Linked DNA regions of Mus musculus. The protein of the gene in region 1 interacts with the protein of each later gene in a pairwise test. Links are inferred from orthologs where the notes say so. Each region holds a gene or a part of one and is shown in the gene's direction. Other genes may lie near its edges. The genes, in order: Ehhadh, Kctd9, Mid1, Kctd6, Ssna1, Fundc1 and Des.

Region 1 (4,760 bases):
CTGTAGTGGTTTCAGGGCTTATAGTGATTTTTTTTGAAGCATTAACAAACCTGAGATACCCTGTGAACATAGGATGTAAGATGACACAGTTGCTACAGTGAAAGAGTGAGGTGCTTGCCTAAGACAGTGATATCCTATGAAGTAGCACTGTGTATGTAGTAAGAATTTTGTTTCTTTTTTGAAAACAGTTATGGTGTGTGAATATGTTTTGTTTTAGTCCCAGGTGTGGAATATGGGGTTGCTCTCACAGCAGCTGACTATGATTCGTCTCATGCTCTGGCAGGGGTGTGATTCTGCCAAAAAAAAAAAAAAATTAGTTTACATTTGGAATTCTGTGGACTCTTGAAAGGGTATAAAAATGCCAGAGACCCAGAAGCTGTGGAGGCTGCTGCCCCCCTGCTGCTGCTGCCGCTGCTGCCTCCACCACTGCTGCTGCTGCTGGTTCCTGTTGCTGTGAGCAAAGATGAGAAGAAGAAATTGGATATCCTGAAGACAAAGACTGGACTTGCCCCTAAGGAACTTGATGCCCTTAATCAGCAGAAAGTAGTCTAAACAGATCTACGCCCCCTTTCCCTCTAACTCTCTTTCTGACTGACCTAGTGTTGTGGGGTTGGAAGGGATTGGGGTGGAGAAAGATAGTAGGTAATCCAGGAACGTAGCCAAAAGTATGGTTACATTTGTAAGACAAAATAAGTAAAATAGAAGGATATGGAAGATCAAAAGACTATCTACACACAGCAACACGGTAGAACCTGCTTAATTGGCATCCATGAACTCAGCAACTTTGGAACCCATGCTTGTAGACAATTCTGTACCATTAGGAAAAGAGAACCCACTGTGCTGCCACCTAGCTGTATCCCTATTCCTCTGCCACTTACAGAGGGACTAAGTGATAGGAGGCTTTGCTGTTGAGGAGCACTGGCAGAACCTGATTGGAACTGCCCTTTGAACTTTGTTCCCTAAATGCCTTACTTGCCTTTCGCTGGTTCTGCTCCCACCGAGGTGCCAACTGTAAACATCCAAGCCATTTAATGGATTTATATTAAAGCCTTCACCAAGAACCCACTGTGGGAGACACCACAGAAAGTTCCGTGCTCAATTAAAATAAAAGTGCAAACCTAATGGCCAGTGACCGAGTCCTACAGATGGAGATTATAAAGTGTCTTGAGATGACTCCAAAGAGGGCTTATTATCGATCCTTGCTCCAAGGGGGTGGGGTGTAATAAGGCCACTCAGTGCTATTAAACCTTGAACTCTACCTGCTCAGGTTCCTAGGATGCTGGGACTGATTTCTCCTAGACACCATACCTAGAAGTAACATTCCTAGAAATAATATTTAGACATTGTTAAAACTTGTGAAACATCAGTGAAGATTTACAAGTACGGTTTTACTTGTCAACCTGCACACTGTCTTCTGTCCACTTGGTGGACTTTGGCAACCAAGAGGAGCCATGCGCAGCTGGAAGGACCGTGCCCCAGGCTGTTTTAGAGGGAAGAGACAAGGCATGGTTTATTGTCAGGCTGCAGCCTACGTCCAGCCCATAATATGTGTGCAGTTCCTGGATGAACTGTGAAAAATCCCAGCCTTTAGGAGGGACAGAACTAGAGAAGGCCGGGGCTTCGTGCCCTGGTAAATGGCTGTTTTGTGAACATGTGATTGACGTTGGTGGTGTGACCCAGCAGTTTGGCTTGCCTGTGGACATTCCCTTTGGAAGCATAGGAAGATCGCGCTCCTTGGAGCGCAGCCCGCCCCAGGGAGCACGAAGTGCAAGGGGCAGGAGGCGGTAGCAGCGGCTCCCATTGGCTCAGAGCACGCCCCTCCTCTCAGGGCGGCCCAGAAAAGGAGCCCCGGGCTGCCCCAGACATCAGAGGCGCAGGATACCTTGAGAAAATGGCTGAGTATCTGAGGCTGCCCCACTCCCTGGCTATGATCCGCCTCTGCAATCCACCGGTCAATGCCATCAGGTAACACCGCCCGGACAGTGGGGTGTGGCGGGTCTAGGAGGGGGCTTGTCTCAGCTGGAAGGGCGGGCCAATGAGCAGCTGGCTCCGGCCTTCCTTCTGTCAGCTGTTGACCTCACTGCGAGGCCCACGTTTGGTTCTGGCGAATCAGGAACTTACAAAGGTGAGGTTGATGCAGCAAGTGTCTGCTTGAACCCCTTCCTGCAACCTTACTGCCGGCTTGCAACCCCAGCGTCTCTGTGATGCCAAAAGCTATAGTTAGCTGACTCGTAGAAAAGCAGAGTTTAGTGCCTTGAGTGTCAACTCTCCCTGTCAGAGGAGGCCTACTGGATAGTATTTTCTGAAAAGCTGAAGTTTCATTTACACCACCTGCAGTGCCCTCCTGTGCAATGCACTTAGCACATTACTATTATAAATGAGATCTGTCTTCTTGAAAAAATGATATTCATTTACCCTGTTCACTCCATATCACCGGCGAATAGAGTATAATTCTATATTAGCCTCAGGAGGAGTCACCCATACATTGCAGAAGTGGTGGACAGGATTGTGACAGATACTGTATAATTTTCACTGGTGAGACCTTGCTAAAACCCTTTTCTCAGGTGAGACCTTACAGTCTAAAGGACAAACCTAGGTACAGTTCCAGCCCTGTTCACTCTGCAGGGGACCAATGCAATGGATTTAGGCTTACTTTCAGAACAGGGTGGTGCGCTGGGGGCAGGTTGGGGGAGGGGAGGGCGGGGACAGGAGCATGAGTGACTTTAGAACTGCCACATTGGAATCAGCCCTCCCCAGCAAAGATCATGACTCCCCGTGGCAGTTAAGAACCCCTTCCCCAGCCGAGCGTGGTGGCGCACGCCTTTAATCCCAGCACTCGGGAGGCAGCACTTCTGAGTTAGAGGCCAACCTGGTCTACAAAGTGAGTTCCAGGACAGCCAAGGCTACACAGAGGAACCCTGTCTCGAAAAACTAAAGAAAAAAAAAATAAATAAAGAACTCCCTCCCCTAATCCTTCCCTACCTATATCCTCTAGTCCTTCCTAGAGACCCAAGGGTACAATTAGGGCAAAGAGGGGTGGCTGGATAATCAGAGTGTTCTGGTCCAGTCCTTCTATGAAAGTCTACCACCAACAAGCCCAGCATTGGCGATCTTTGGCAAACAGGCTCAAGCCAAACTTGCAGCAGTTTGGCTGGGAGAATAGTCCTGTACAATGGATGAGAACAACTAACCGTTCACCCGAGAGAGGGCATCTGTGACCGGCCAAGTAAAGGATTCCACCCACGTCTAGCTCGGTAGATTAGTGACTTTACTGAGGTCAGTTACAAGAGTATAGTTGCTTCTGAAACAACGGAACCCCTGGAAAGCCCACCCCAACTCGTGAGGAGCCCCCTCCTCACAATTGCTTCTCTCCTGTAACTTTGGAGACGGATCTTATGAAACTTACAGGTTTCTGAGCTTCCTGGGGCGTCTTAAACATCAGTAGATGTGTTTAGCTTTCAGTGCCCTGTCAGTCTCTTTAGCGTCCCCAGTCTTAGCCCCTTCGGGAGGGAATGCGTCAATCCCAAGGAACTAGCAGCACAGTAGCAGAATAAATAAAGTAAACATAGGCCATTTGAAAATTCCCACCACCAGCTGCTGGAGCAAAACCAAACAGATGCCGGGGTGGCACACACCTGGAATCGAAGCATTCAGGAGACTGCGGCAGAAGGAACTGTTGATCTATTCAGACCCTGTCTCAAAAAAAAAAAAAAAATCTTAAAAGCAAGCAAACAAACAAACAACAGAAAAGAGGAGACATGTTCATTTTAACTGAGATTTAAAACCACACTGTTATTAGATTTTATTTTTTAAACTTAATTATTATTATTATTTTATGTGTATGGGTCTTTTACCTGAGAGTATATCTGTGTATCACATGCCCTGGTACTCATGGAGGCTAAAAAAAAAAAAAAGAGAGAGTTTTTTTTTTAAGATTTATTTATTTATTTATTATATGTAAGTACACTGTAGCTGTCCTCAGACACTCCAGTCAGATCTCGTTACAGATGGTTGTGAGCCACCATGTGGTTGCTGGGATTTGAACTCCTGACCTTCGGAAGAGCAGTTGGGTGCTCTTACCCACTGAGCCATCTCACCAGCCCCCAAGAGAGGTTTTTGTTGTTGTTGTTTTGGGTTTGTGTTTGTTTGTTTTGTAACAGCGTCTTTGTAGTTCTGGCTGACCTGGACTAGCTATGTGAACTAGGCTGGCCTTGAACTTGCAGAGAGCCACTATCCTCTGTCTCCCAATCACTGGAATTAAAGGTATGTGCCACCACACTTGACTTAATACTGTACTTATGTTAATATGAAGGATGGCATTGATTAATACATAATGTGCAAAAATTACTGGCTACTTTGGGCAGGGCAGAAGCAAATTATTGATCATGCCAGTCTCACTCTTGATCTCAGCCCAGAAACCAGGAAGTGGCTACAGCACGTGATCTCACAAAGAAAGCATAAGCAATATGGCTCCGTATCCACGTGGGGCGCTCATGTACTGATAGGATTACTTGATAGAGGGATTCTACTGAACTCTCTGATCCTGAGTACTATGTCCATCAAGAGGTCAGGAGGGAAATGTCCCACAGTCTCACAACCACTCCTGCTGGTACTCTCTGGTGTGTTCCTAGCATTTAGCCTGCTATGTCCCTCCCCAATCAGGAGAAATCTTAAGGTAAATGCAATGGAGATTGTATTGTAAATGACTCCACACTTTTAGGACCTCCTTGTATCTCTGAGTAGCCTGTGGTCAGTCCCCT
Region 2 (4,420 bases), on another chromosome or scaffold:
TCTTACCGGAAGAGGTCTTAACAAAGCTTTCAGGTGTAATTCCCAACTGCTCTACGGTTACTGTGGTGAAGTCCAAAGGTGACTTAAAGGTATCAGGGGTGCAAAGATTAGGAGTCGCATCTGCTACATGCTTCTGAGGAGTCACAAACGGTTCAGTTCCCAATCTAAAAACGTCATTTTCTGAAAACGGACAGCACATTGGGGGTGTTAATACATCAAAACACTCAAATCTTCCATCTAACGAGGGCAACAGGTCACCACATACCAGAATTATTAAGGACACACTCCTTGGATTCAGAGAGAGGCTTGTCGTGTGAACTCGCATCCATCTAAAAGATGAGGAAGTTAGAGAAAAAAATGTGAAAAATAACCTCACTATAAGCCAAAAACAATGTGACAGAACTCTAAGGCAATCAATACCAGGGGACCACAGGCTGGGGCGTTCTGATTAAAGAAACGGCGGGAGGTACTATTGACTAAACAAAGCGGACCGAACTGATTTATCAGGGCTTTGCATCCCTGAACCCCGGCCGGATAGCAGGCCTACCTCTCCCGCCCAGGACCCTGCGCGTTCCCTCGGACGACTACGACAAGCGTCGCGGAGGCTCCGTTTCAGAGAGCACCAGAGGCCGGGGAAGGGAGCCGGGCTGGCCTCCTGCCGGCCGCTGCACACCAGACACACCACGTCCGGCCGAAGCGGTCAAGCTTCACTTGCCCGCCAGCAAATTCAAACCGCGGCCACGCCCCCGCGGAGGGATACCCACGAGCCGTGGACCACGTGTGACGTGGGTACCGCTCCCTCCGGGCCTCACCCTCGTGCTTTCGAACGGCGCAGGGAGACCTCCGTGGATCCCGGAAAAAACACGGCCAGCCCTAAATGACCCTGGCGAGACAGAGCTGCAGCAAAAAGGTGTCCTGGGGTCTACCAGTGAGTTCCGCGGAGCAACACTTCAAATGCCACCCCAAACCTTGGATTGGCTGCTGGAAACTTCGAAAATGAATCACTAGACCAATCGAGACAGAACCGCCGGATGGCTAGTTTACCCTATTAGCCAATCCCGATACCAACCGTTACCTCGGTGGGTGGGTACAGTAGAAGGGGCAAAAGCCTAGCGAGGAGCTGATTGGTCTATGGGACTTCGGCGTCCCGCCTCTTCCTTAGACCCAGTCTCTTTATGCAAATGAGCACTCCTACACTCCAACGTGCGCCTGCTCAGTAACGCTTAGAGCGGCCCTTTGCCCAGTAGGTTCTTCTCTGATTCGCTGATACTCCATTCCGTCAACCAGCCCTCAGCCTCTCTTTCCTTCCACCGCCGTCTAGTGTTACTCTGAGCCCACCCCCCAGCCGGACTCTGATTGGCTAAATACTGGCCGGTACAGCGTGTTGATTGGCGCAGCTCAGCGTCGGTCTGGGCGCGGTTGGGGGGAAGGGCCGCTAGCAGGCTGAGGAGCCTAGGGGCGGGGTGGGAAGGAGGATCGGCCAACCCCGGGGTGTGGGACTGAGGGTGCGTGCGTGAGGAGTGTGGGGCCGACCAGGAAGGTGGCGAAGGGCGGAGAGTCCGGGTGGGAGGCGGGAGGGGTCTCGCGGGCGCGGAGCGCGGCGGGTGGCGGGCCGGGAGCGAGGGTGGCGGCTCCCTCAGGACCCGGCGCGGGCGGCGCGATGCGGCGGGTCACGCTGTTCTTGAACGGCAGCCCGAGCAACGGCAAGGTAAGCGGTAGCGGGGGCGCGACCCGGGGACCCCCGCAGCCTCCGACAGCCCGGGGCTGCTCTGCCGGCGGGGCTCCGAGGCGCCACTGTCACCTGAGCAGCTGGCCGAGGTCCCCTCCCACCTTCCCGCTGCGCCTTCCTGTCCTTATCGGTGCTGAGTAATGCTCTGCCCGGGGAGGAGGCAGTGATCATGGAGGCGGGTGACCCTGGCCAGGTCGGGAGAAGAAAACTCCAGGGGACAGTCGAGTGACATCCTCAGAATGTGGACCTGGTCTGAACCACTTTCCTTCTCTCTCAAGGTGCCCCGGGCCCCTTGCCCCGCCACCGTGCAAACTTTTATACATGTTTTACTGTGCCGCCTTGTTTTTGATTCCTTAGAGGACAGTGACAGCAGACCTTCGGAATGACTTGATTTGACAGTAGCCTTAGCTGCATTTAGGCCTCTGTGGAGGGCGTGGTGCTAAATATTTTTCCGATGTTGCAGCTGCCTCTTGCCCCACCCTTGAAAGTTATTCTTTGGAAAATGTTGGCTGTTTCTGGCGGACTAGTAATGTGTGGTTAAATGACTGCCCCACACATACCTAAGCCTGATTAAAGTCTCAAAAGTAATGAACCCTTTTAAAGTTTCAGTTCAAGGTACATTGGCTCCACTCTGTAATTGACCAGAATACTCTGATTGCCCCGCGTATACATAGCAGAACTAACTATTCAAGGGCATTAAAGTGGTGCGGGGGAAGGGGGTGATGAGGGGTAGGGGAGCGATGTCCTTCAACCACTCTGCAGTTTTGAATAAACAGATTCTGGAAATCTGATCCACAGTGGGGTTTGTGCTCTGCGATTTTATTTTCTTAAAGATTGGATATTCACACAAAAATAGTAGCCACATAAGCTCAGCCAGTGCTTCAGAAATACAGGCTAAAAAGGCTGTCACTTCTGATCATCAGCTGTTCCTGGGCCACGCTGTAGTTGGCTAGTAGACTGTGTCGGTTTTTATTGAGAGATTTAGTGTGCCCAGTGTTAACAGTCGTATTGATAAGCACTTTTCACCAGTGTCGACTCTTGTGTGACTCCCTGAAGTCGAAGTGATCAGAGTTCCTCATAAGTGCTCAGCTCTGCTCTAAATCTCTTCTGAGTTCACTGTATGCTATTGTCACTGTAAAACTGAGTGGCTTGCTCTGGGTATATTATTTAAATTTTTAAAAACTTTGGTTTTGTCTGTGAGTTTCCAGGTTAATTTTATTTACTTAGTAAAAAAATGTTGAGAATCTCCGAAGATTGGGGAAAGTACTTCTCAAATGAGTATGGGCACATATGCATTACAATGATCATAGGACTGAGCCGAAGAATATTAACATTTAATATTTTTAAAAAAACTATGTCCCACCATGTCCTAAGCTAGAGAACATGTTGCAAGGCTGTTTCCTCTCCTTTCAGAAGGTGGAAATAATACTAAAATGACTTTTATTTGAAAAGATCACAATACATACCACCTGCATTTATGTATGTGGATATGTAGTGTATGCATAGTCCCTATATCTAATCAGGACTGGCATAAACATGACATGGACGCTCGTTAAAATATTCCCAAATGCAGTGCTACTCTGAGATAGTTTGGTTTCCTGTCTCTAAAGTAGAATATATCATTTAGCTTGTCTCTTTACTTACCTGGTGTCTATTTTTAATGCCCTAGTCAGGAGAATAAGTTTTTTGAATGCTTGGCTTTGTGGCCTTTGGGCTATGGGCTGTGATATAGAAAGGCACAGATTTCATCACCATACATCAAGTTACCAACATGCACTTTTGATTTGTGTAACTGATTCGTGCTTTTAATGTTGATGAAAGAGCTGATATTTTCTAAATGAAATGAGAATACCGTGGAAGGTGTAAGATGACCCTTGGGGCTTTATGGAGGAGTGTGTGTGTTGTTGGTTTTTTTTTTAATTTGAAAACAAAATAATTTTAAAAAACAACAACAACTTGGCTTTTCTAATCTGGAAAAGCATGGGAGCCTCTAGTTACTGAACTTGTCAAGCTGGTCTTGTTTTCTTCCACAACAGAGGTCTCCAGATGTAAATAGGTCGATAGCCAACAGCTTACTTAGCAGTTGGTTCTCGTTGACATACAATGTATAGAAGAAGCCTGTAAGTATAGAAGTTTACATCAGGGAGTCTTAATTAAATTAGCCATCAACTAAGTGCTAAGTGACTTTAAAACCTCAAAGAAACTGCAGATTGAAGCCGGTATTAATTATGCAAGCACAGTAAACCCTGAGAAAGCGGCAAAGCTGCTGCTTTTCCTAGCATCAGCAGTAAAGTTAAAAAATAAAAGGATCTCACAAGCCAACGAATGGCATGTTTTAAGAAAAGTCTTTGCTTAATAACTGCTATAATCAGCTTCTTCCTTCGGGTATATTGTTCTTTGAACTATTAGCCCGTGGTCTGCTGAGGTCATCCTCGTCATGACAGGCCATGACCAAGACATGAAAAGTCTTTTCCTGTACATGCAGGCAAAGGTCTTGGATTTTTTTTTTTTCCTTCGCCTTAGTTTTTAAAAACCTTTGGGATTCTGGAGAGGACTCAGGGGTTAATAGTACTGCATAGGCCGCAAGTGTGAGGAGCGGAGTTGGGATCCTAAAAAGCAAATATTGGGTAGATATATGCAGCAGTCCACCTGTAACCCCAGGCCCTGAAGGCAAAGATGAGGGGTCCCAGG
Region 3 (4,609 bases), on another chromosome or scaffold:
GAAGACATCCAGTGATATCTTTATATTATATTAATCAGTTATGATCATCTAGTGGGCAAAGGTCCTGATGTTGCTAAATATTTGACAACACACTGAACAGCTAGGTCCATGGTGAGGAATTATTTGTCTGCAAATGCTAGTAATTTCAAAGTTTAGAAGCCTTCATCTACCCAACCTTGTTCAACCTAACCCATGACCCTAAGGATGCATGTGGCTAAGGATGACTGTGAATACTGTGCAACACAACATTATAAATGTATTTAAAACATTAGGACTCTCTCTCTCTCTCTCTCTCTCTCTCTCTCTCTCAGTGTGTGTGTTGTGTGTATCTGTGTGTTTTGTGTGTGTGTGTGTGTGTGTGTGTGATTTGTTTTAGTAAGGTATCACCATGTGAAAAGGCTAAACAAGCTTGGGTCTAGGCCATAGTGAATGACTCTGAAGAACAAATAAATGGATTGAGGGCAGCTGGTGTGATTAGGGGGACTCTAAAACTTCTCAGTGGGGAGCTGAGGCAGAGCTATGGACTCCCAGGTGCTGGTGCCCTGCTGCCAAAATCTCAGAGAACTCAGCCAAGCTCACACATATTGAACCACACCTCCAGCACTCCTGAAACCACTAAATCATTATTTTATCTGTTATTATTTACTAATACTGCAAAAACTTAATATATATATTGGATTATCCTCAAACTGTGAGCACTTGTTTGGGAATATATATATATTGTATATATATATTTTTTGTATATATATATAAATTAGTGAGCTTACCAGTTTAGCACTGATAAACTCAAACACTCAAAGAGGTACATACACTTATGTAAAAAGAAGTTTCATTAACTAAATTTCTGTATTCATTGTTCTAATTAGGAGATGTTTTATCTGAAATTGTGCTTTCAGTCACCATCGATGAAGATTCTTCCTCAAGTCCTGTATTTCAAAATGTTTGTGTGCTCAGTCCCATTAACATTTGCTTCTTTAGGTTGGATATAGAGTTTATGTGAAGACGAGGTGGGTAACTGTCTTGGTTGCTTATTTCAGTTAGAGTGATACTTACAGCAGTGTGGTTTTTCCCTTCACTGTTTTTACAAAACTAGGTATCTAGAACAAGATACACTTTAAAAAATATCTTTGGGTCCTGAGGGTTGAGGTTTTCTCGCTGAAATCATTCTTCACCTTTAAAATGCTTTAATGCTTTTAAGGGGCTCTTAAAGTGCAAGGGTTTAAGGCCCGGAGCTAGTTAAGCTTTGAGCAGATGCAGTCTGTTAGACAAGAATAGAACTCATCCTTTACTTTGGGGAGCTCTGACACAACATCCAGCTGCTTCCAGTCATTTGACTCCTGAAAGCTGCCCTAATCCTGGTAAAGGCAGCCTCTCCTGCACCCAGGTCCACCCACTGCTCCTGATTGGCGAGGCTCTCCGCGACCGGAGCCCGCCGCCTACGACGTCCCTGTGAACTGATTTGAAATAAGAGCCAGGCGGTCCTCGCTAGCCTGCGCCCGACTTTTCATAGGCTGGAAAAGGAAAGGTTGAGAAACTTGACATTGTCTTGGGTAGAGAGCGTCTAGAAGCAGATCAAAGAATAAAAAGGGAGGGGGACGAAAAACGTGCTCTTTGCTGCCTGTGGATTCGACCGAGTTGCTTTTGTCTTGTGGGCTTTTCTGCCGGCTTTGGTGTCTGCGCTTGGAAGCCTGCGGGTGCGCTTCCGAGCAGCTTGCTCCCTGCCGGATGGGTCATGGAATTCTAAACATGAGGCAGGTAAGCTTGGGGGTTGTGATTGTAGCTGTGCTGGCGCCAGCCACAGAAGGAGGGCTTTAGCTTGGGGCCCCTGCGACCTGTTACTCCCAGAGCGGGCGGAGTGATCAAACGCAGCGTTCCAGCAGATCCATTAGGTGGAAGGAGGGGACTGCCTTCTCTTCCTAAGGCTACCTTAGAAAGCACATCACCTGCCGGCACCCCACTGCCTCGTCCTTACTACCTACCCGCGCCAGCTTTTGCTTCTAAGAGTGGTTGCTGATGTCAGGCAGTCTTTGTAAAAGGTTCAGAGCGGTTTGTGGAATATGCAAATCAATTCCAGTTTGCGGGCCTCTGGAATGTATTGTGCTGGATTCATCTCAAGCTTTTAGCCTCTACCCTATTATGCTTCAGGTTAGAATAAAGACAACTGCACAGTCTGACAAAGAAGCACGCTGGGACTCTTATCTTATTTTGCTTTCACGTTTTGAGCACTTTACTGTGTGTCCGAGGCTGAGAAGGCGAAAGCAGTCTGGATGGAACAAGCTGCACTTCCAGCGGAGGCAGGCGCGGGGAGGGGGGAGGGGGGTGTTACAGACTTTTTTAAAAACCGTTCTAGCACTTTAGGAGTTGTATTTTGTGTTGCTGCTGGACGTAAGAACACAGTCCCGGAAGTACTGAAGGGAGACCGGTCTTGAGTGTGTCTCTGTGAAGAATTCCAAGCCAGCAGCTTCTTCCGTCGCTCTAGGGCATAGGGATACAATTCCTTATCAACTTAGGTAGAAGTTTATGAGGTTTATAGCTTTGCCGTTGAGGAAAAAGAGAAAAGGAAAGACTGGATTACAAAGCCTAGAAGAGGGTGTAATTTACAACTCTATCACAGTTGGAAAAAAAAATCTTACGTCAATGTTTTATTGCCGAGATCGATACTCACAAGGGAAAGACAAAAGTAAAAGCCTTTCAGTGACTGGGAAGGACAGAGACTCCCGGGGAGGAATGCTAGTTACTCTTGCCAGAGCGGAGTAACTCCGGGTGGGAAACTGAGCATCTGTTTTGTCACCGGAAAACCTCTTCTCTTTTTTCTTCCAGTTGAGTTGGGTGTGCCCCACCCCAAAGTGTTCACTTTAGGCGAAAGTAAACCTTCCCATGAGTGGTTGGGCCAAGGGGTTTACGACTTTCCGTTTCACTGCCGCAGAGGTAAAGCAGAGGCCCTGCATGAAAGGTCAGGAGCAAAGGCCCTCACATTTCTTATTCGCTAACTTGCTCTTCTGGACGAGCTTGGGAAATTGCAGGAGTACAGAAAAAAGCACATGAAAGACTGTGTGTGTGCTTTCAGCAAATTGCATCTGCCTAGCTGGAGAGTGGTGCAGAGGCTGGCTTTCTCGAAGTTTTGCGATCTTATAGAGCAGCCTCATTCTTTGAATTTCTAGCAAGCACATGAGATAGACAAAAGGGGCAAGGAGGCTTGCTGGATAGGAGCAAGAAAGAGAATAGGTACACAATACTATTTTTCACAAAGGTCCTAAGCCGGAACAAAGAAGTTATTTGATGCTGTGTGAAGCCACCTGTCTTGTCCTCGGTGATGTGTGAACTCAATTTTTAGAATCTTTGTGCCCACACAGTTCCTCTGGAATGGGGTGACACTCCCTCTGTCTGATGCCTCAGGCAGGCTTGTCCAGAGCTTGGGATGATTTTTCCCATGTGGAACTGTGGCATTTGTATGAAGTTGGCAAACAGCCCAGTGTTGAAGTTTTAACTGTACAAGTAGGCATGTAGTAACTCCTTAGTTATTTAATGAATGACCATCTTTTCATCCCACATCTCTGGATACATATATAACATTGTTCTTTCGCCTATTGGGTAGTTGAAAAGAGGGAGGGACTGGGGGAGGAGATGCAAGAGTAGCGATCATTGTTCATACAAGAAACCAGGCATGAGATGGTAGCATTACTGCATGGGCGAGTCCCAGATTTGTTCTTGTTTCTCTTGTTGGGGGAGGGGAAGAGACCTTACCACTTCATTCAGGCAGAGGAATAACATCCACCAACCAATTTGTCATCTTAGGCCCAGCAGCCCCTGGCTGTATTTGCAGGGTTAGCTATCAAACCAACCCATGTGTCATCAGCTCAGCAATGAAACACAATCCTCTTGCTGGTAAGTGATCCGTCCCTAGGGCTGTGCAAATGCCGAACAGTGGGGTGGCAAGCCAGGACAGATCCCTACCACTAACTAGTTAGAAATTCTCCATAGCCCAAAACTCGCCAACACAATTAGAAGGCTACATGTTTGTGTGTAAGACTCAGAAAGTTTGGGCTCTTACCAGATTGTCAGCACACAAACAGTGCAGGTCAAAATTCTTATAAGGTAAATGAAACAAGCAAGCAAACAAACATAAACCTGACAAGTTCATCAGGAAGTCATTTTAAAGTGTGCCAACCTCTCTTGGCACTTTGATCAAAAAAAAAAAATGGAAAACTTTTCAGATTCTTCTTTGAGAAGGAATTTGCTGCGTTCCCAGGCAAAAGGAAAGGCATGGCCACCTGTTATAGAAGTCCAGCCAAAAACAACAGGTTTGCTTATGACATTCCCACAACTGCAAATATCCTCCCTAAATAGCAAGTCACATTAATTGTCCCACCACAGACTAAGAACAAATATTTCATTCTCAAGTTGGAAAAAAATAGAATCTCCAGATGAAATTCCCTACCAGGCATATTTTGGGATTTTAGAATCCCAATAACTTTAGAGAAATATACTAAGCAGCTGAGATGACTTTTCTTTTAGTCTCTTGGTCTCCCAGCTGCTATTTTGTTTTTTGTGAGGCTACGATGCTGCTGATGCAAGGAAGCTGTGATTGAGTTTGGTCAGCCCATTTTGC
Region 4 (4,697 bases), on another chromosome or scaffold:
CGGAAGAGGGCATCAGATCCCATTACAGATGGTTGTGAGCCACCATGTGGTTTCTGGGATTTGAACTCAGGACCTTCGGAAGAGCAGTCAGTGCTCTTACCCGCTGAGCCATTTCTCCAGCCCTATTCCCATATTCTTAATTAGTTTGTATCCTTGCTTAGATGTCAATGTAGCCGTCCATTGTGTTGAAGTCCACATTGCTTATTTAACCTATCAATTTGATTTTTGGAGAAAAAATAGAATATTAGATGATGATCATACATATAAAAACTAGATTTCAGAACCACCTCACAAACATGCAGATGTGTAAACCAGGTAAGTTTCTGTTTTGTTCTTTTGAGAAAGGGTCTCGTTATGTAGCCTCATCTGTCCTAGAGACTAGCTATGTGGGCCAGGCTAACCTAGAGCTCACAAGAGACCCACATGCCACTGCCTCTAAGTGCTGGCATTAAGGATGTGCACTACTTTTACTATGCCTGGCCCAGGTGAGTTTCTAAGGCCAGTGGCTTTTCACCCATGTAGAAGTGGATTGAGATCTGGCTAGCTAGAAGTGGTGGCTTTTGCATCTTGTCTATGCATGGAATCCAATTAGCCCTGCAGCCTTGATGTCCTTCCTGAAGGGACATTACCCTTGCCAGTCCCATCCAGACTAAGATCCTCAGAGGTATTACACAGGATGACGTTAGTTAGCTCTGCCCTTCTAACTGGCTGCTCTTCTCTGCCTAAAAGGCTGGATCGGTGGTCCCTCTAAGCCATTACTTTACAGAATGGCCTGCCTTAATATATAAGGCCAGGAGTCTTATATATTAATACATTAATAATATTAACTACATTATTATGTATATATTAATATAATATAATTACATCAATATTAATAACATTAAATGTATACTAATATTTTATATATATCAGATCGTCACATCTTCCCTTATTCTCCAAGGCAGCCTTCTTTTTTTTGTTGTTGTTTTTTCAAGACAGGGTTTCTCTGTGTAGCCTTGGCTGTCCTGGAACTCACTTTGTAGACCAGGCTGGCCTCGAACTCAGAAATCCACCTGCCTCTGCCTCCGGAGTTCTGGCGTATGCCACCAAGCCCGGCCAAGGCAGCCTTCTTATTGGACCGCTCTCACCAGGATTCGAACTTGTCTTGTGTGTGTCTACTGGCTGCTTTTTTGAGTCTTGAGACGCGCCTCGGTCTGGGTGGCTGCTCTTCTCTCTAAGCCCTGCATGCGATGAGGTCTATCGACTTAGTGAAAACAGCTGAGGAGAAACAGTTGCGGAGAAGGAGTCCTGGGCAAGCAGGGAAGAGACTGCTGGCGGCCAGGAGGAGAGGCTGAAAGCGGAGGGGGAGTTAGGGGCGTGGCCTGGGCGGAGCTCCGCGCGGGAGTCCTGGGCGGGGCGGGGATAGGAACGGGACGGAGGCGGGGCTTCGGGACTGCTGCAGAGCCCGCCTGACCACGCCGCCCCGGCAGCGCCCAGAGTGCCCGCGGCGATCCGGCTTCCCGGCCTTCGCCCCGCGCCGCCGATAGGGGGCGTCCGCGTTCTCGGCGCCGCGACTCTGCTGAGAAGGCGCCGCCCGCGCCGGGCAGCTGGAGCCGCAACTCCGGGCTCCGGCTCACTCGTCCCCTCTGCCGCCGCCGCCGCCGCCGCCGCCACCGCCGCCGCTGCCGCCGCGGGGCGCGGGCTCGCTCGTCCCCGCGCTCGCGCTCTCGGGCCGCCGGCGTCTCCCGGCCGGGTCGCCTCCGCGCTCGTGCAGTGAGTGGGGCGCGAGCGGGGCCTGCGGGCCGGGGCTGCGGGAAGTCGGGCTGAGGAGAACGGCGGGTGGCGGCCGCGCGTCCCCGGGCTGGCACGAGCCCGCGGCGGGGCCTGGGCGGGGAAATCGGGGACGCGCGGCCGCCTCGGGCTTTGGGCTCCGGCTCGGGTTCGGGGCTCGGTGCGCGTGGCCGGCCGGGCTTGGCTTGCGGGAGACCGCGGAGTAGGGACCAGCGGGCTCTGCGGGGCAAAGGGTTGGTGTTTTGGGGAGTGGTGTTTATTAGCCGCCACTGCCCTAGTTTAAAGCTCTGCTTTTTGGGTTTTGTGCACAAATTGCAGCTTTTTACCGGAATTTTGGGATGTCACGGCGATTTAGTGCTGGGTGTTAAGAGGTGATCCTTGGCGAGGTCGTGGGGAGCCCCTGCAGCACCTGCTGGGCGATGGCAGCGGAGGCTGTGTCTGGGGGTGGGACGGGGAAACGAAACGTGACTGAGATCCTGTTTGGATATTCTGCTGAAGTTGTCATGTTTCTGTTCTGTACACCAGTACATACAGCAAGTTGATAAACCTGGTTTCAGGATTTCGTGATGCAGACAAATAGACCGATGTGACCTGGTTTAGCTAAGAATGTCTGGGATAGCCCAAACAACCTGCTCCAATGTACCCCCCTTGGCAGGCTCATCTTTTTCGCTGTTGCAGATATTCTAGTATGGGAATAATGGTGGGGTATTACAGGCCCAAAGCCAGAAGTGTTTCAAAAGAGTAAAGATCTAAGTAGGTAGGGTGGGAGAATCACCCTTTGGATGAAAACCAGGAGCCCACACGGATTCTTAGTTTTTTGTAATACCGTAGGTAGAAAGATGGCCATAGAATTTGAAAATTTTTAAAGTGTATTTTAGCTGAAGCAATAGCGTGGAAAGCAGTCTTATGGTCACTCCTATGATCCATCGTCGCATCCTGGATTTTAATAGTTGGGGTCTATTTTAAACGGAACACGTATGTGTGTCTTCTGCTTTATCTTGAGACAACCCTGAGTCATGCTTTCTAGAAGTCCCGAGAGCTCACGTGTCTGTTTGTCTCTGCGAACGCTGGACATCATTTTACCTTTAGTTTTTCTCACGGCAACTGCGGTGGGATCTCCGGGAAAGGAGGGCCAGGGACGGGACAGAGTGGGAACACAGATTGGTCCTAACCTGCATGTTCGCCCACCGTGTCTGACTTACCTATTTAAATTTTGGTGATGCTGCGAGTAGTAAAGGGCGGTCTACTCAGGTTCTCACAGCCCTCTGCTGGCATGCTGCACGTGAATCCAGAGCGCCACTCCTCACTGCCCTGTCGGCCAGTTTTACCTCCATTGTGTTTAAACGGTGTGGTTACTTTTGGGAAGGTCATAATACCCATTTTGGTGGAAACTGAGGGAAAGTAGAATTTTATGATTTGTGACTCTGACAGCACTTAAGCTGGAGAGTATATATTCTTCTGGTTTGATACTGTCAGAAGATTCATAATTTCTTGTAGGACTTTCTCCCTTTTTGCCTACATTTCCTTTCTTCTAGCCCACGAGGTTGAGAGAGGGGTTTAGTTAGTGGTAATTTAGCTTTATAATCCCATTATCCTTGTGCGCTCGCTACTTGTGCTGGCCTGTATGTGGATGTTAACTCCGAAGACGCCAGGAGATGCCACTGAACCAATTACTATAAAAAGTATTTCACTTTCAAACTCCCACGTTCCCAAGAACAGAGAAACTCAGTACAAAGGCAGCTTGGAAGGTAAGTATAGGTGGAGAGAGAAAATTTACCGGTCTTCATTTTGGGATGGCAGACACAAAGGTTTCAGTAGAAAAGCACTTGGAAGGGCTACCCAGAAAGCGTGGGAAGGCAGTGACTACAGTTGTATCATTACATTTTCTAATCCGAGGTTAGCATTACGGCATATAGACTGTTACAGGGGAGGAGGACTTTTGCTCTGGAGCGTCTTACTCAATAGCAGAAGTAAGTCTAGAATGTTTGTGCTGTCTTATCATAACCCCCACTGTAGCTTTGCTGTGGTAAGGAGGGTTCTCACAGGTTAAGTTGTTAACTTCCTGGAGTGTGCATTCTTCAGATTTGCTAGGGTCAGTAAATTAGTAACTTCTTTTCAGGCTTCTAGAAATTCTTCAGAATATGTTTTTCTTAACTACCTGCTAACATACTATCAGATTTTACACATTAGTTACAATGACCTTTGAAGTTCAAGCAAGCATGATAGTCTTTAGGACCATAATTTTTTTTTTTTTTTGAATCAAAGGTCAGGTATTTTCAGGTAAACCGATTTTACAAGTCAGAAAGCCTTTCTTTGAACTTTATAGTCGTTGGTTGTAGCCATGACTCTAAGAAAGATCTTTCGTAAGGGAAAGTCACTTAAAGGAATCTTATGAGGAAACATTTCACCTTGGCCTGCTTGATGCCCCCTTGGAGGCCTTCTGTCGCCTGGCTTGTTCTCATTAAGCCCTCCACTGGAGGAGGTTGTGCCGGATGGGAGAGAAGATGAAAGGGAAATGAATTGTTAGCGTCCCTGGAGAACGATGAGGTGGAAGAAGCTGAAGCTACTTCTGGGTTGTGTTTATTGTATCCACCCCTGAGATGTTCTTGGCAGGCATCAGTTCAGAGTCCGGCTGTTGGATAGGCTAGAATCTTGCCCCTCTTGTCTCTCTAGTTGCGTCTCTGTTTATGTTTACAAGGAACACATACCAATTTTAAATCAATCAAGACTACTCCCATTTTGACTTTATTGGTGATCAATTTAGTACAATATTTTAAATAGATTTTGCTAGCTTATATTGGAAGTGACTAGTATTTTATTTTGATGTATTTTATGTATAACTATAAGGTCTTGAAGTGCTTTTTAAGAAACCTGGGCTTGTCCAGGAGGTAGTGGCACATGCCTTTAATTCCAGCATTCCAGGAGGC
Region 5 (3,695 bases), on another chromosome or scaffold:
GTGATTCTCACCTTGTGAAACTCACGCAAAAAAGAGCGCTCATACTCTCCTCGGCAGCGGTCTTCCATCCTTTCCCGGGTCACCTGATGCAGGGTGGTTGTCACGGCCTCAGCACAAACCCGCTCCAGCAGACTGAGCCTATGCCTAGAAAAGATCCCCGCTCATGGAGAACCCACAACACACATCTGTCCCTTACCTAGGAGGGCTCTCCCCATAAAGATACTGCACACACACCCTATGCCTATGTCCAGGACAGTATAAACGTGATGAACAATAATCCCTGGTTACAAGTATGGGCAAAAAAGACATCGCCAGTTAGTCTATAAGCTCTATTGAGAGGTCTTTTGAATTCAGGACTAATGAAGCTTGCAGAGAAACCGCAGCATGGTTAGGAAGCAGTACTCACAGGACCTGGCTCAGCTGGTTGAACTGCTCCAGTGCCTGCCGGCACCAGCACTGCTGCTTGTCACTGCCACATCCTGCGCACAGAGGACTCTGCAAAAGTCGGTAGTACCTGCGGCGGGCATACCGGCTATCTAGCTCACCCTCTAGTTCCGGGTCTGTGCCCCCTTCTCCTTTTCTCTTGCTCTGCATATAGACTCTCAAGAAACGACCATAGAGGCGCTGGACCATCTCCTGGAATGTCCTAGGGGTGGAAAAAAACAGGACTCCCCGCAACATAGTGTGAACTTTCTCCCGAAGCCCCTGAGCTCCAGCGCCCATCAGCAAGCCCAGACGAGTCCATTTCTCTAGGAGTTCTAGGCTATGCAGATAGGGATCCAAGCGGCTTTCCAGCAGACCGAACGCATCCAGGAGCAGCCCAAGGCACTGGGGCTCATCGACAGAGTTTTCTCGCAGAGCGATGGCATTCCAGAACTCCGTGGCAATATTGCCTTGAAGGTCGTTCTGCAGCACTTCCACGAACCACTCCTCCAGGACAGAGTGCAGACCGTGTCCCCTCAGAACCTCCACCGCTGCACGAAGCTCTTCCTCCTTTGGTGGGACTGCACCGCTGGTCCGGGAAGACGCCTGGAGCACGGAAAACCGTGAGCAGAGGGGCGGAATAGGGGTAAAGGGAGAGGAGGGGCATGGAAAAACCCAGCAACCGAAGAGCTGCCAGGGAACCAAACAAATCAGGTAGCTGAGGAAGGAGGCAAGCCCACTACAGGCAGGCCACGGAGCTGTGAGGCCCCAAGGGTGGACCCCCTAAAGTATGCAAAGTCGCGGGAAATCTGCACAGGCCCGACAACCTTTCCCCGGCCTCACCAGCCCCAGCGCGGCCGGCGGCACCAGACCGGTGCTCACAGTATTCCAGGCAACCAAGAGCTCCTGTCCAGGCCTAGAGTCGCAGTCATCGGAGGCAATAATTGTCGCCGCCGCCGCCGCCGCCGCCGCCGCCGCCGCCACCGCCACACCCTCGGCCTCCATCACTGTCCACAAAACAGACCCGCCCAGTAGAGCGCACGGTGATGACGCAAGCGCGGACCTGTGGCGCAGCCGTGACGTTCACCAGCCCGCGCGCTTTGTGGGCAGTGCGCAGGTGCGGACTTAGCTGTGCAGGCGGCGGTTGAGGCTTCCGGACGCGGTGCAGACCATGACCCAACAGGGCGCGGCGCTGCAGAACTACAACAACGAGTTGGTCAAGTGTGAGCGTCGGGCACTGAAGGCCGCGGGCCGGGGCCGGCCGACCCACTCGGGAGGCTGCGTGGACATGCCTCACGAGCCCCGCTCTGCGGCCTGCCCCTCTGTCATTGCTGGTTGGGGTCGGAAGCTCACGAGTCCCCACCCACAGCTCTGTCTTCCCACCCACCCTAGGCATCGAGGAGTTGTGTCAGAAGCGAGAGGAGCTGTGCCGGCAGATCCAGCAAGAGGAGGACGAAAAGCAGCGGCTACAGAATGAGGTGAGGCAGCTCACGGAGAAGTTGGCCCGCGTCAACGAGAACCTGGCGCGCAAGATCGCCTCTCGCAACGAGTTTGACCGGACCATCGCAGAAACCGAGGCCGCCTACCTCAAGGTGGGGCTCTCAGATGTCTGTTGTGAGTGCCTTACTACCATCTGAGGCTAGGTAGGGCCCATTGTGGTTCAGAGGCTGTAGGTGGAACAGTGGGCTGTCTGTGGGTTCCAAAAGTGAGCATTGGTGTATTGGACAGAGTACACGGTGTGGGCCTGAATTAACCCAGCCTGGCTTTGCAGGGTGGAAGAGCTCTGGGACAGGTGCAGAAGGGAGGATGGTTTTACTCCATAACCAGTTGGCTACAGCACAGATGACCAAATTGAGATTTCCATCCTCCATTATTAGAGCCTGAGGCAATGGGACCTTCCTACCAGAGAAATAACATCCTTTTATTTCTCTGGCCCCAGATCCTGGAGAGCTCTCAGACTCTGCTTAGTGTACTCAAAAGAGAAGCTGGGAACCTGACTAAAGCCACAGCTTCAGACCAGAAGAGTAGTGGAGGCAAGGACAGCTGACGAGTGCCTGTTTCAGCCGTGGCCTATGGCTGCTTAGTCCTCAACATGTCTGTCCTAAAGCATCTTTGTTCTTCGTGGCCTCAGATGTCTTTTATCTCTGGTGCCCAGAGGGGCAATTTCTGACCTCCACCTGCCTAGACAAGAAAAGCCCTAGGACAGTCCAATGGAAGAGGTGTTCCCAGCTCCGTACTCACATGTGCTGTGGGGACCCTGAGCAGCTCCATGAGGGGCCTCTCTCTGAAGCTCCTGAATCCCTTTGGGCTACCAGGAATGTCCTGGTCCTGGTCTGAGTACTGTGGGAGCCCCTCACTTTGTCTCCCCAGCCACTAGGGCCCCAGGCCAGACATGTTGAAGAAAGAATCTTGACTCCAGAACCAAAACCTTAGGGCCCATCCCCATGGCCTCTGGTGTTTCAATAAAGGTTGTTTTGCAAGATCTGTGTCTGCTAGCTACCATATATCCTGTTGGTAAGAAGACCTGCAGTTTTTCCCTTTCTTATCTTCAAAACACAAAATGCTGAAAGTACTCACCTCACACAGGTCAGCCCTAGCCCTTAACTCTCTTTGCAAAGGTGCTGGTGTTTTCCCCAAGTCCAGAACACAAACCACTTTTCTGTGAGGGGCTTTGCTCTACGATGGTGCTCAATACAGAACCTGGCTCAGAGATAGAGACAGGGACAGTAAGTTCTGTTTGGTCCAATCTGCTGCTGCTGCTGTTAGGACCCATCTTCCAACCACATGTGTTGCTTACTTACTATTTCCATGTGCCCTATGACCCAGCCCTTTGTCACAGCTTCTGGGGAAAGTTTGGAAGTATTTGGTGACCAAAAAGATCCAGAAAACAGCTGTGGTAGTTTACACCTGTCATCCTTCGTTGAGGAAGAAGGATCGCCTTAAAATCAAGGCCATTCATGTCTGCATAGTAAACTGTAAACCAGACTGGGACATAGTATGAAACCCTTTCTTAAACAACAAAAAAAGTACCTATAAAGCTGGGCTTTTACTCTCTGAGAGAAACCTACTTCAACATTCTCCTTAGCTCTAGTCAAGCAGTGACAGGAAAAGAAGACACATTCGGTGCCTGCAGATGGCCTACACTGGCTGCCAAGGCCTCTGCGAACAGTTTCCAAGCAGGCAGCTCTGCATTCCCCTAGCCTTTTGGGAATCTCTGTTGCTATAGCCTTGTTACAGGCTTATACATCGGGAGGTATCCAAATCAAACATGA
Region 6 (4,550 bases), on another chromosome or scaffold:
GATGTTGTCTAAAAATAACCAACCAACCAAAAATACAAGCAAAAGTCTGCTCGACTAACAGGGCACTAAAAAAACTAGAGCCCTCAGCAGTTTGAGAAAAATGTGACCTGGGGATCCATCCCATATACAGTCGCCAAACCCAGACACTTTTCTGGATGCCAACAAGTGCTTGCTGACAGGAGCCTGTTATAGCTGTCTCCTGAGAGGCTCTGCCAGTGCCTGGCAAATACAGAAGTGAATGCTCACAGCCATTCATTGGACTGAGCACAGGGTCCCCAATGGAGGAACAAGAGAAAGGACCCAAGGAGCTGAAGGCATTTGCAGCCCCATAGGAGGAACAACAATATGAACCAACCGCTATTCCCAGGATACCCAGGGACTAAACCACCAACCAAAGAAAACACATGGAGGGACCATGGCTCCAGCTGCATATGTAGTAGAGGGTGGCTTTGTCAGTCATCAATGGGAGGAGAGGCCATTGGTCCTGTGAAGGCTCTATGCCCCAGCATAGGGGAATGCCAGAGCCAGGCAGCAGGAGTGGGTGGGTTGGTGAGCTGGAGGAGTGGGGAAGTGATAGGGGGAGGAGGGTTTTCAGAGGGGAAACCAGGAAAGGGGATAACATTTTAAATGTAAATAAAGAAAATATCTAATTAAAATTTTTTTTCATTAAAAAAAAAAACCTTTAAAATATTTGCCCTGACACTTGTTAAAATAGATAGTGGGTCTATTTTAATTTGGGATACAACAACAACAACAAAAAGCTGGAGATTTATAGTGCATAATCTGAGGGGGTCGAAGTGTAGAGTCCTACCAAGAGGAGACATCAAGGGAGTTTATTGCTGAGCTAGTTTAATTGGGTTCTTACTGGAGAATGACTGGGTTATTAGACATCAAGCAAGAAGTGGGCCTGAAATTTCTGTTAAAGCCAACAGAATTCTTGAAAGAACTAAAGGCCAAAGATAGGGCCTGAAAAAAGAACACCTAATCAGAAAGACAGCTTCGTTGAAGCATCCTGACTAAAGACTTGTTAAGAACAGTCTGCCAACACTAAACTGATTATCTTGTTCTATTACCCTTAGCCGCTCCTCCCTCCATTCCTTTAGCGTAAAAAACAAACAAACAAAAAAACCAAAAAGCAAAAACAAAAATAAGACAAAACAACAAAAAACTCTTAGAAACTTAGAGCAGGTTGGGGTAATGCCCAGGCTACAGTGGAAAAGAGCACGGACTACATTTCCCATAAGCAATAGGAGGGCGGGGACTCAGCTATTCCATCACAAGTCCCAAGCCTTGCGGCTGCGCACAAATTGTTGGAGGTCGTGTACAGGGAAGAGTGGCGGTGACGCGACTGTGTGGGCGGGGCGAGGAGGAGGCTGAGGAAAAAAGAGAGACCATAGACTTCCAACTCGGCCTAGAGCGTCCTTTAAAGTGGTGGGGAGAGGCGGGCAGGGACCACCCCCAACTGGCCGCTGGCGGTATCATGGCATCCCGGAACCCCCCTCCCCAAGGTGAGCAGCCAGGGCCCGAAGTAGTCTCTGGGACGCTGCCCACAGCACTCGACCTTTTATTGCTATGGTGTTTCTCCCTTTCCCTCCTCCAGTGTTTCTGGGGCTCTGTCGCTGTACAGCCCCTTTGCGAGAGCCCCTTTGAACCAGAGGTCTCCTTTCCCTCTCTGCGGAATTTAGCATGCTCACCTACACCTAACCAAGGCTAGACCCTGCCCTGCCCTGCCCCCACCTCGAGCCCTTCTCCATCTTGCAAAATTAGGAGGGTTGGCGGGTTGATTTCCATGGTTGGTTGCGTTTTAGTCCTGCTCTGATTTCCTCTTGCTAGGTTCCTGACTTTTCCTTTCATGGAAGGATCATCCCCTCGCCCCCTTTTCCCACAGATGGAAATGTACCCTGCCCTGACCTTATTCTCATTGTGCGGGTGACCGCCCACTGCTTTGTAATTCAACTGGCCTCTGGCTGCGTGTCCCTAAGCCTTGGGAAAGGAAATGCCGATGCTGTTGCTAGGCCCTTTATGCTTGAGGCCCTAGTCTCCCAGATCGAGTTAATCACGCTCCTTCGTTTACATCTGGGCCTTTTTAGTTGTAGACCAGACATGACAGTGTGTTGGCCCACAGGTTTTATGAAAACAGCTTGTGAGACGTTTCAGACTGTAGAATGAATGTTTTTTTTTTCCATTTTGTATTTTTAAAGACTATGAAAGCGATGACGAATCATACGAAGTGTTGGATTTAACTGAATATGCAAGAAGACACCACTGGTGGAATCGAGTATTTGGCCACAGTTCCGGACCTATGGTAGAAAAATACTCAGTAGCTACTCAGATTGTAATGGGTGGCGTGACTGGCTGGTGAGAACATTCTTTTCATTAAATTTTAGTGGGAACCTGGCTCTTGTCCTTTTGTAAATGGCACAGCCTCCATAAATCTTCAGTGGCTCCCCACTTTTAAATTCCAGAAGAACACAACTTTGGGGCTTTTCCCGGATCTTATTGGTTGTATCAGCCTTCAGATAGTCCTGGTTGGATTTTGATGATTTCCCTCTGTCAAAGGCCCACCATAGTTCCACTTCCACCCTTTACACTTCCTTTAATTCATTAACAAATTTTCAACTTAAGCAAGTTAATTATAAGTAAGTTGTTACTTGCTATTCAGTGCCAATAACTGGAAAAAACATGAGAACTCCCATTGCAGAACTAGCCTCTAAGATTCTCAGCTCTGTACATAGAAGCATTAATGGTCTGTAAAAATTATTCACAATGATGCATCAGATTCTACATTTTTTGTGTACTGGTTCTGATTATGATAGTGCTTTGAAGAAGATCTGAGAAGATTGCCTTTGCTTTAGAATTAATGCAATGATTACTTATTATGCAATAATTTGGAGTACAATAAGGAGTGGCTAATAACCATTAATCAAGCAACAGCTCATGTAAGCACATATTTACATTGTTGTTACCATGTATTTTAATTCTATTATTTTTGGAATAAAATATTAACCAGATAAAAAGGGGCAGAAACAGTTCAGTATTTTGAAATATGTTGATGACTCTTTTTTTTTTGAAGTGACAGTGATTAAGTTGTAAGCATTTTTTTTCTTTACATTTAAGGTAAATTCATCTTGTGCTAATTAAAATATTTACATACTTCCTCTTGGCATGGGAAAATGACATTTATTCATGTGTGTTTTCCATGAACCTCGGAATAATGATGCCCCATGCCTTCTTGTAAATGCCATTTCATAATTTAAAACAAACAAAGAACAATTATGGTGAAGATTCCATGGAGCACAGGCACAGTATTAATACTGCTTTATTGAAAAATCATACAGTTAGAAGGGAAATTTCTGCTCAGGGCCTCGGTCAATTAGATGATTCACTGTAGGATGATTACAACTCTGCCCCCTTAAATGCATTTATAATTTGGTGCCAGAGGTGATTGGTTAGTGAGAATCATGGCGGAAAGCCAGATCGTTGCACATTTTCTTCTTACAGACCTAACCTGCTAAGAAGGCCCATAACTGCCAGGTCTTCCTGAAAACCCTAATGGCAGAGCAGAAGTTAGTAGTGACTGGTACACAGCTTGTGTAGCTGTAGCATTCAACCTGGGGTTTAATGAAGACCTCACTACTTGCTTTTTTCTTTGTTCTTCCTTACTGACTCCTGTATAAGAACCATATTCTTGATAATAATAACAACAACAACAGTAGTAATACATTTGGATTGTCAGTATCAGACAAGTATTCAACCCAGGAGCTATGTAATAGTTTGTGGGTATTTGTTTTTTACATCCATCTATTTGTGTGGGGGGCACAGATGTGTCCCAGTATATATGTGGAGGTCAGAGGACAGCTAGTAGGAGTTTGATCTTTACCATGTGAGTTTTGGGGATCAAACTGGGCTCTTTAGACTTGGTAGCAAGTGCTTTGACCTGCTCAACTCTCTCTATGACCTGGTCTGTGTAATAGGACACTTATATTCAGGTGGCTTGTTTTTGTTTTTGTTTTATGTGGGCACAAATTCAGGACCTTGCAAGCATTCTAACTCTAAGTGATATTGCCAGCTACATAGGTGATTTGTTGGAATGATTTGAACTGTAGTTTAGATTCAGAGTAGAAAACATTTGAAATCTTTTTAGGATATAACATTGATGTGATATTGTGGCATAAAAGAGGAACAGTTAATATAGGCATAAACCTAACTTAACACTTGAGACCGACCAGCTCAAGACATGAATAGCCTAAGGAGATTGGATTTAGCCATAAGTTTTTGGTAATAAGAAATGAAAACTAGTATGAGAAAAGGTGGTTGCTAGGAGACCTGGAGGCCTTGAATACTGAATCTGCTTTTAGAGTGTGATCCAGAAGCAGAGCTATGGAATCCCAACATTACATTCCAAAGGTAACGATGCCCCTAAGAGTGGAAAGGAGGGCTGGCAAGATAGCTCAGCAAGTAGGCTTGATGCCAAGCTTGGTGACCTGAGTTTTATCCACAGGTACCACATGGTGGAGAGAACCAATTCATGTACATTGTGCTTGGCCATG
Region 7 (3,380 bases), on another chromosome or scaffold:
AAGCCAAACAATGAGGCGAACGAGCTTTGAGGGCACGTTGCCATCCTGACATTAGTAATATGCAGATCAAGTGGCTTCCCAGCCCCAGAGAGCAGAAAAGAATTCACTAATGATACATTAGGAGAGCAAGTCGGAGATCTTGGCAGCGTCTCCTTTCCTAGATCAAACCTTTTATATCTTCGATGTTCATTTCCATCAGGAAAAATACACGCTGTGCTCCATCGAGTCAAACGTTCATTACAGCCTAGTTGCTTGCTAAGGGACTCATGAGCGCCAAACTCCTGACACCACGGAACTAAATGTGACCCCCACTATGAAAACTCAGATTTCTTTTTTCACTTATTTGTTTATTCAGATACCAAGTATGTGTTCTGCATATAAAATCACTTTTGCTGCGGATCAGCAGCTCTGAGACAGAATAAGTGGACTATCATGGCTGCTACTTCCCAGAGAGGAAACTGAGGCACAGGAGGGACTAGCTCCTGCATCATTAAGACATTAAACAGCTCATCCTGGAGCCTCTAGGTTCCTCCAGCAGGTCTATAGGCCTGGGCTTTGAGGTCCTGTCTTAGATGAGAGTCCACGGATATAAACTCACCATTCAGGACTCTTCTGAAAATCTGGAGGTGGAGAGAGAGCAAGGCAGGATAGGAAACATGAATACTGTTCCCGGGCCTTGGGTCCCCTGCTATCCTGTACCAACACACAGCACAATCTTTTGGCTCTTGAAGCCATTCCTCTAGCAAGACTGGTCCCTCTCTCTATAAATCATCTGTTGGGTGCTGGGTTCCAGGATGAGGTCTCAAAGAAGTCAGACAGTTGTCATAAGAAAGGTGAAAGTCAGCTAGCACTTGGAGCAATGCAGCCTGGGGTGGATTTCCAGTCATGGTGCAGCTTAGGTATGAACCTGGCCAGGCTCATATGAGCATGGGGTGGGTCTATTACAGAAACCAGCCCCGAGCAAAGGGGTTCTGAAGTCCATACCAAAAAGACAGTGATGATCAAGACCATTGAGACCCGGGATGGAGAGGTGAGTGGTGTCGGACCCCTTGTCTGACAGCCCGGTGTCTTTCACCAGCTGGGTGGCTTCCAACCCTGGATGGGGTGGGTGGGCCTTGCTGCCTTGGGGTGGAACAGTTTGGGGTGAGGCTCTTCTAAGCCAGCAGTGGATAGACTGGCCTTCTCCTCCTGCTTAGGTTGTCAGCGAGGCTACACAGCAACAACATGAAGTGCTGTAAGCCAGGAATTCAGTGTCCTGGCCCCGTCCTCACTGCCTCCTGAAGCCAGCCTCTTCCACTCTCGGATATCACACCCAGCCACTTTTCTCCACTCACAGGCTCTGACCCCCCCTCACCGATCACCCCTTTGTGGTCTTCATGCTGCCCAACCCCAGGGAACCCCTCAGCCACCTCTGCAGACCCTCCCATGAGCCCTGGCTATTGGCAGGTGTCAAAGCTGGCTCTTAAGAGAGAACCCAGCTCAAGTCATCGCCCTTCCCCTTCCACCTTTGTGACCCCTGGCTTAGGAGAGGGTACCAGAGAGGGTGTTGGGATCTGCAGGGTCAGGACCGAGTTTGTGGACATCCCCAGCCTGGGTCAGAGACAGAATGAAGCCTCAGCGAGCTGAGATGGAGAGTGGGGGGCCTGAAAACTGCCCTCATGGCCCCTCTCTTTCCCATCGCAGCCCAGGATGGCCTTGGAAAGCGGGGGCTGTAAGAGGGAAGCGGAAGGTGCTGGATGTGGGAGCAGGAGCTACAGAAGGAGAGAGGATGGGTGAGGAGCTGGAGAGGAAGGAAGAGAGAGGCAGAGAGTGGGCTCAGGTTGGTGGGAGGGTACCACCTCCCCTGCCTGCCCCTCCCACCGCAGGGGCCTGGACAGAAACAATAATAAAGAGACAAGCACAAACCTGCATGGCCCTGTCATCTTGACTGTGTCTCAGGGGGAGTCTGGACCGTGTCACACCCCCATTGCCCTGGGATGAACTGTGTCAGTGTCATGCTCAGCGAGATTGAACAGTAGGCCTCTGGGTGCTGTAGTCTGGGGAGCGTGGGGTGCTGGAGAAGGGGTTTCTGTTAAAAAGCCACAGAGCCTTCGGTCCAGCCTTCTATCCCCTTAGGCTACCTATCCCCTTAATATCACCTGGGCATCGGGTAAGGTAGGGATGGGGACAGTCCTATTCTACAGACTGGCTGTGAAGGAAGTTCCCTCGGTCCTTTTGTCCCCAAGGCACTGCCAGTCCCTTTCCATTGAGACAATGTCTCCTGTAACCCAGACTGGCTGCAAACTCCCTCTGTACCCAACCATTCAGCTTTAAACTCCTCATCCTCGAGGCTCAGCCTTTTAACCCTTTCTTTAATGCGCAGAAGCCGATCCAGGCAAAATAACGTTGTTCACAGAAGTGCAAAGACAAGACTTTTTACTTGGGTGAAAAACAGCTCGGCACTCTTAAGAGAATGTCAAGCCACCCTCTATCCATAAGCAGTTCCAATGGAATTTAGTCTCAATTAAAATACCAGAGGGAGCCAGGGCCGGTGTGCTGCCTGTAATCCTAACAGGGGCTCAAGAGGTTGGGACCAGAAGACTTCAGGTTCAAAGCCAGCCTCTGCTTCCTAATGAGGCCCTGTATAAGAAACAAAACAAAACAAATACAAACAACAACACCCAAGAACAAACAGAAGGAAAATTTGAGGTAGTTAGGGGAAATGGAAGGGTATAGGAGTTATTGAAGAAAAGAAAAGAGAAATCAATTGAATAAAATATGTATATGTATTATGAGGCCATGATAACATAGATCAGTGATTCTCAACTTTCCTAACGCTGCGACCCTTTAATACAGTTCCTTACGTGGTGGAGATCCCCCAACCATAAACTTATTTTTCGCTGCTACTTCATAACTGCAGTTTTGCTACTGTTAAGAATCATAAGGTCAAAAACCAACCAAACAACAACAACAACAACAACAACAACAACAAAAACGAACAAACAAACAAAAACGACCGGGCAGTGTTGGCGCACACCTTTAATCCCAGCACTCAGGAGGCAGAGGCAGGCGGATTTCTGAGTTCGAGGCCAGCCTGGTCTACAGAGTGAGTTTCAGGACAGCCAGGGCTACACAGAGAAACCCTGTCTCAAAAGAAAAAAACAAAAACAAAAAAGAATCATAAGGTCAATATCTAATATTTGACCCCCACAGATTGACAACTGCTGACTTAGAAAGTTTTGTTGATGAAAAGGAACCGCCTAAGACATTGATGGGATAAAACAAGCGTCACGCATGTATGGGATGCTGGAGCGTGTTTAAGGAGGCCTTTCAGTCTAGGGGGAGACACTTAGCGACAGAGAACTTAGCGACAAGTGAGGAGCCTAAAGGTCTGGGGGCGG

The links.
Region 2: the proteins of Ehhadh (region 1) and Kctd9 interact in binary tests that used the Homo sapiens proteins (3 or more experiments, as listed by UniProt). The two-hybrid records come from large-scale screens. The link is inferred for Mus musculus from reciprocal best matches to the Homo sapiens genes EHHADH and KCTD9.
Region 3: the proteins of Ehhadh (region 1) and Mid1 interact in binary tests that used the Homo sapiens proteins (3 or more experiments, as listed by UniProt). The two-hybrid records come from large-scale screens. The link is inferred for Mus musculus from reciprocal best matches to the Homo sapiens genes EHHADH and MID1.
Region 4: the proteins of Ehhadh (region 1) and Kctd6 interact in binary tests that used the Homo sapiens proteins (3 or more experiments, as listed by UniProt). The two-hybrid records come from large-scale screens. The link is inferred for Mus musculus from reciprocal best matches to the Homo sapiens genes EHHADH and KCTD6.
Region 5: the proteins of Ehhadh (region 1) and Ssna1 interact in binary tests that used the Homo sapiens proteins (3 or more experiments, as listed by UniProt). The two-hybrid records come from large-scale screens. The link is inferred for Mus musculus from reciprocal best matches to the Homo sapiens genes EHHADH and SSNA1.
Region 6: the proteins of Ehhadh (region 1) and Fundc1 interact in binary tests that used the Homo sapiens proteins (3 or more experiments, as listed by UniProt). The two-hybrid records come from large-scale screens. The link is inferred for Mus musculus from reciprocal best matches to the Homo sapiens genes EHHADH and FUNDC1.
Region 7: the proteins of Ehhadh (region 1) and Des interact in binary tests that used the Homo sapiens proteins (3 or more experiments, as listed by UniProt). The two-hybrid records come from large-scale screens. The link is inferred for Mus musculus from reciprocal best matches to the Homo sapiens genes EHHADH and DES.

Annotation. Positions count from the first base shown.
Region 1 is NC_000082.6:21,784,912-21,789,671, reverse strand, and holds the start of Ehhadh (peroxisomal bifunctional enzyme), read left to right. Parts: upstream 1-1,837; 5' UTR 1,838-1,891; coding exon 1,892-1,965; intron 1,966-4,760. UniProt on the Homo sapiens protein: Peroxisomal trifunctional enzyme possessing 2-enoyl-CoA hydratase, 3-hydroxyacyl-CoA dehydrogenase, and delta 3, delta 2-enoyl-CoA isomerase activities. Catalyzes two of the four reactions of the long chain fatty acids peroxisomal beta-oxidation pathway.
Region 2 is NC_000080.6:67,714,677-67,719,096, forward strand, and holds the start of Kctd9 (BTB/POZ domain-containing protein KCTD9), read left to right. Parts: upstream 1-1,421; 5' UTR 1,422-1,660; coding exon 1,661-1,708; intron 1,709-4,420. Other genes in the region: Cdca2 (cell division cycle-associated protein 2), read right to left, coding at 7-180, 266-329. UniProt on the Homo sapiens protein: Substrate-specific adapter of a BCR (BTB-CUL3-RBX1) E3 ubiquitin-protein ligase complex, which mediates the ubiquitination of target proteins, leading to their degradation by the proteasome.
Region 3 is NC_000086.7:169,878,155-169,882,763, forward strand, and holds the start of Mid1 (E3 ubiquitin-protein ligase Midline-1), read left to right. Parts: upstream 1-1,464; 5' UTR 1,465-1,755; intron 1,756-4,609. UniProt on the Homo sapiens protein: Has E3 ubiquitin ligase activity towards IGBP1, promoting its monoubiquitination, which results in deprotection of the catalytic subunit of protein phosphatase PP2A, and its subsequent degradation by polyubiquitination.
Region 4 is NC_000080.6:8,212,591-8,217,287, forward strand, and holds the start of Kctd6 (BTB/POZ domain-containing protein KCTD6), read left to right. Parts: upstream 1-1,490; 5' UTR 1,491-1,752; intron 1,753-1,911; exon of another isoform or gene 1,912-3,518; intron 3,519-3,524; exon of another isoform or gene 3,525-4,697. UniProt on the Homo sapiens protein: Probable substrate-specific adapter of a BCR (BTB-CUL3-RBX1) E3 ubiquitin-protein ligase complex mediating the ubiquitination and subsequent proteasomal degradation of target proteins.
Region 5 is NC_000068.7:25,270,249-25,273,943, reverse strand, and holds Ssna1 (Sjoegren syndrome nuclear autoantigen 1 homolog), read left to right. Parts: upstream 1-1,525; 5' UTR 1,526-1,594; coding exon 1,595-1,646; intron 1,647-1,815; coding exon 1,816-2,015; intron 2,016-2,362; coding exon 2,363-2,470; 3' UTR 2,471-2,905; downstream 2,906-3,695. Other genes in the region: Anapc2 (anaphase-promoting complex subunit 2), read right to left, coding at 12-144, 407-1,029, 1,267-1,428. UniProt on the Homo sapiens protein: Microtubule-binding protein which stabilizes dynamic microtubules by slowing growth and shrinkage at both plus and minus ends and serves as a sensor of microtubule damage, protecting microtubules from the microtubule-severing enzyme SPAST.
Region 6 is NC_000086.7:17,569,111-17,573,660, reverse strand, and holds the start of Fundc1 (FUN14 domain-containing protein 1), read left to right. Parts: upstream 1-1,335; 5' UTR 1,336-1,480; coding exon 1,481-1,508; intron 1,509-1,653; exon of another isoform or gene 1,654-1,792; intron 1,793-2,201; coding exon 2,202-2,358; intron 2,359-4,550. UniProt on the Homo sapiens protein: Integral mitochondrial outer-membrane protein that mediates the formation of mitochondria-associated endoplasmic reticulum membranes (MAMs).
Region 7 is NC_000067.6:75,365,813-75,369,192, forward strand, and holds the end of Des (desmin), read left to right. Parts: intron 1-947; coding exon 948-1,030; intron 1,031-1,196; coding exon 1,197-1,238; 3' UTR 1,239-2,767; downstream 2,768-3,380. UniProt on the Homo sapiens protein: Muscle-specific type III intermediate filament essential for proper muscular structure and function.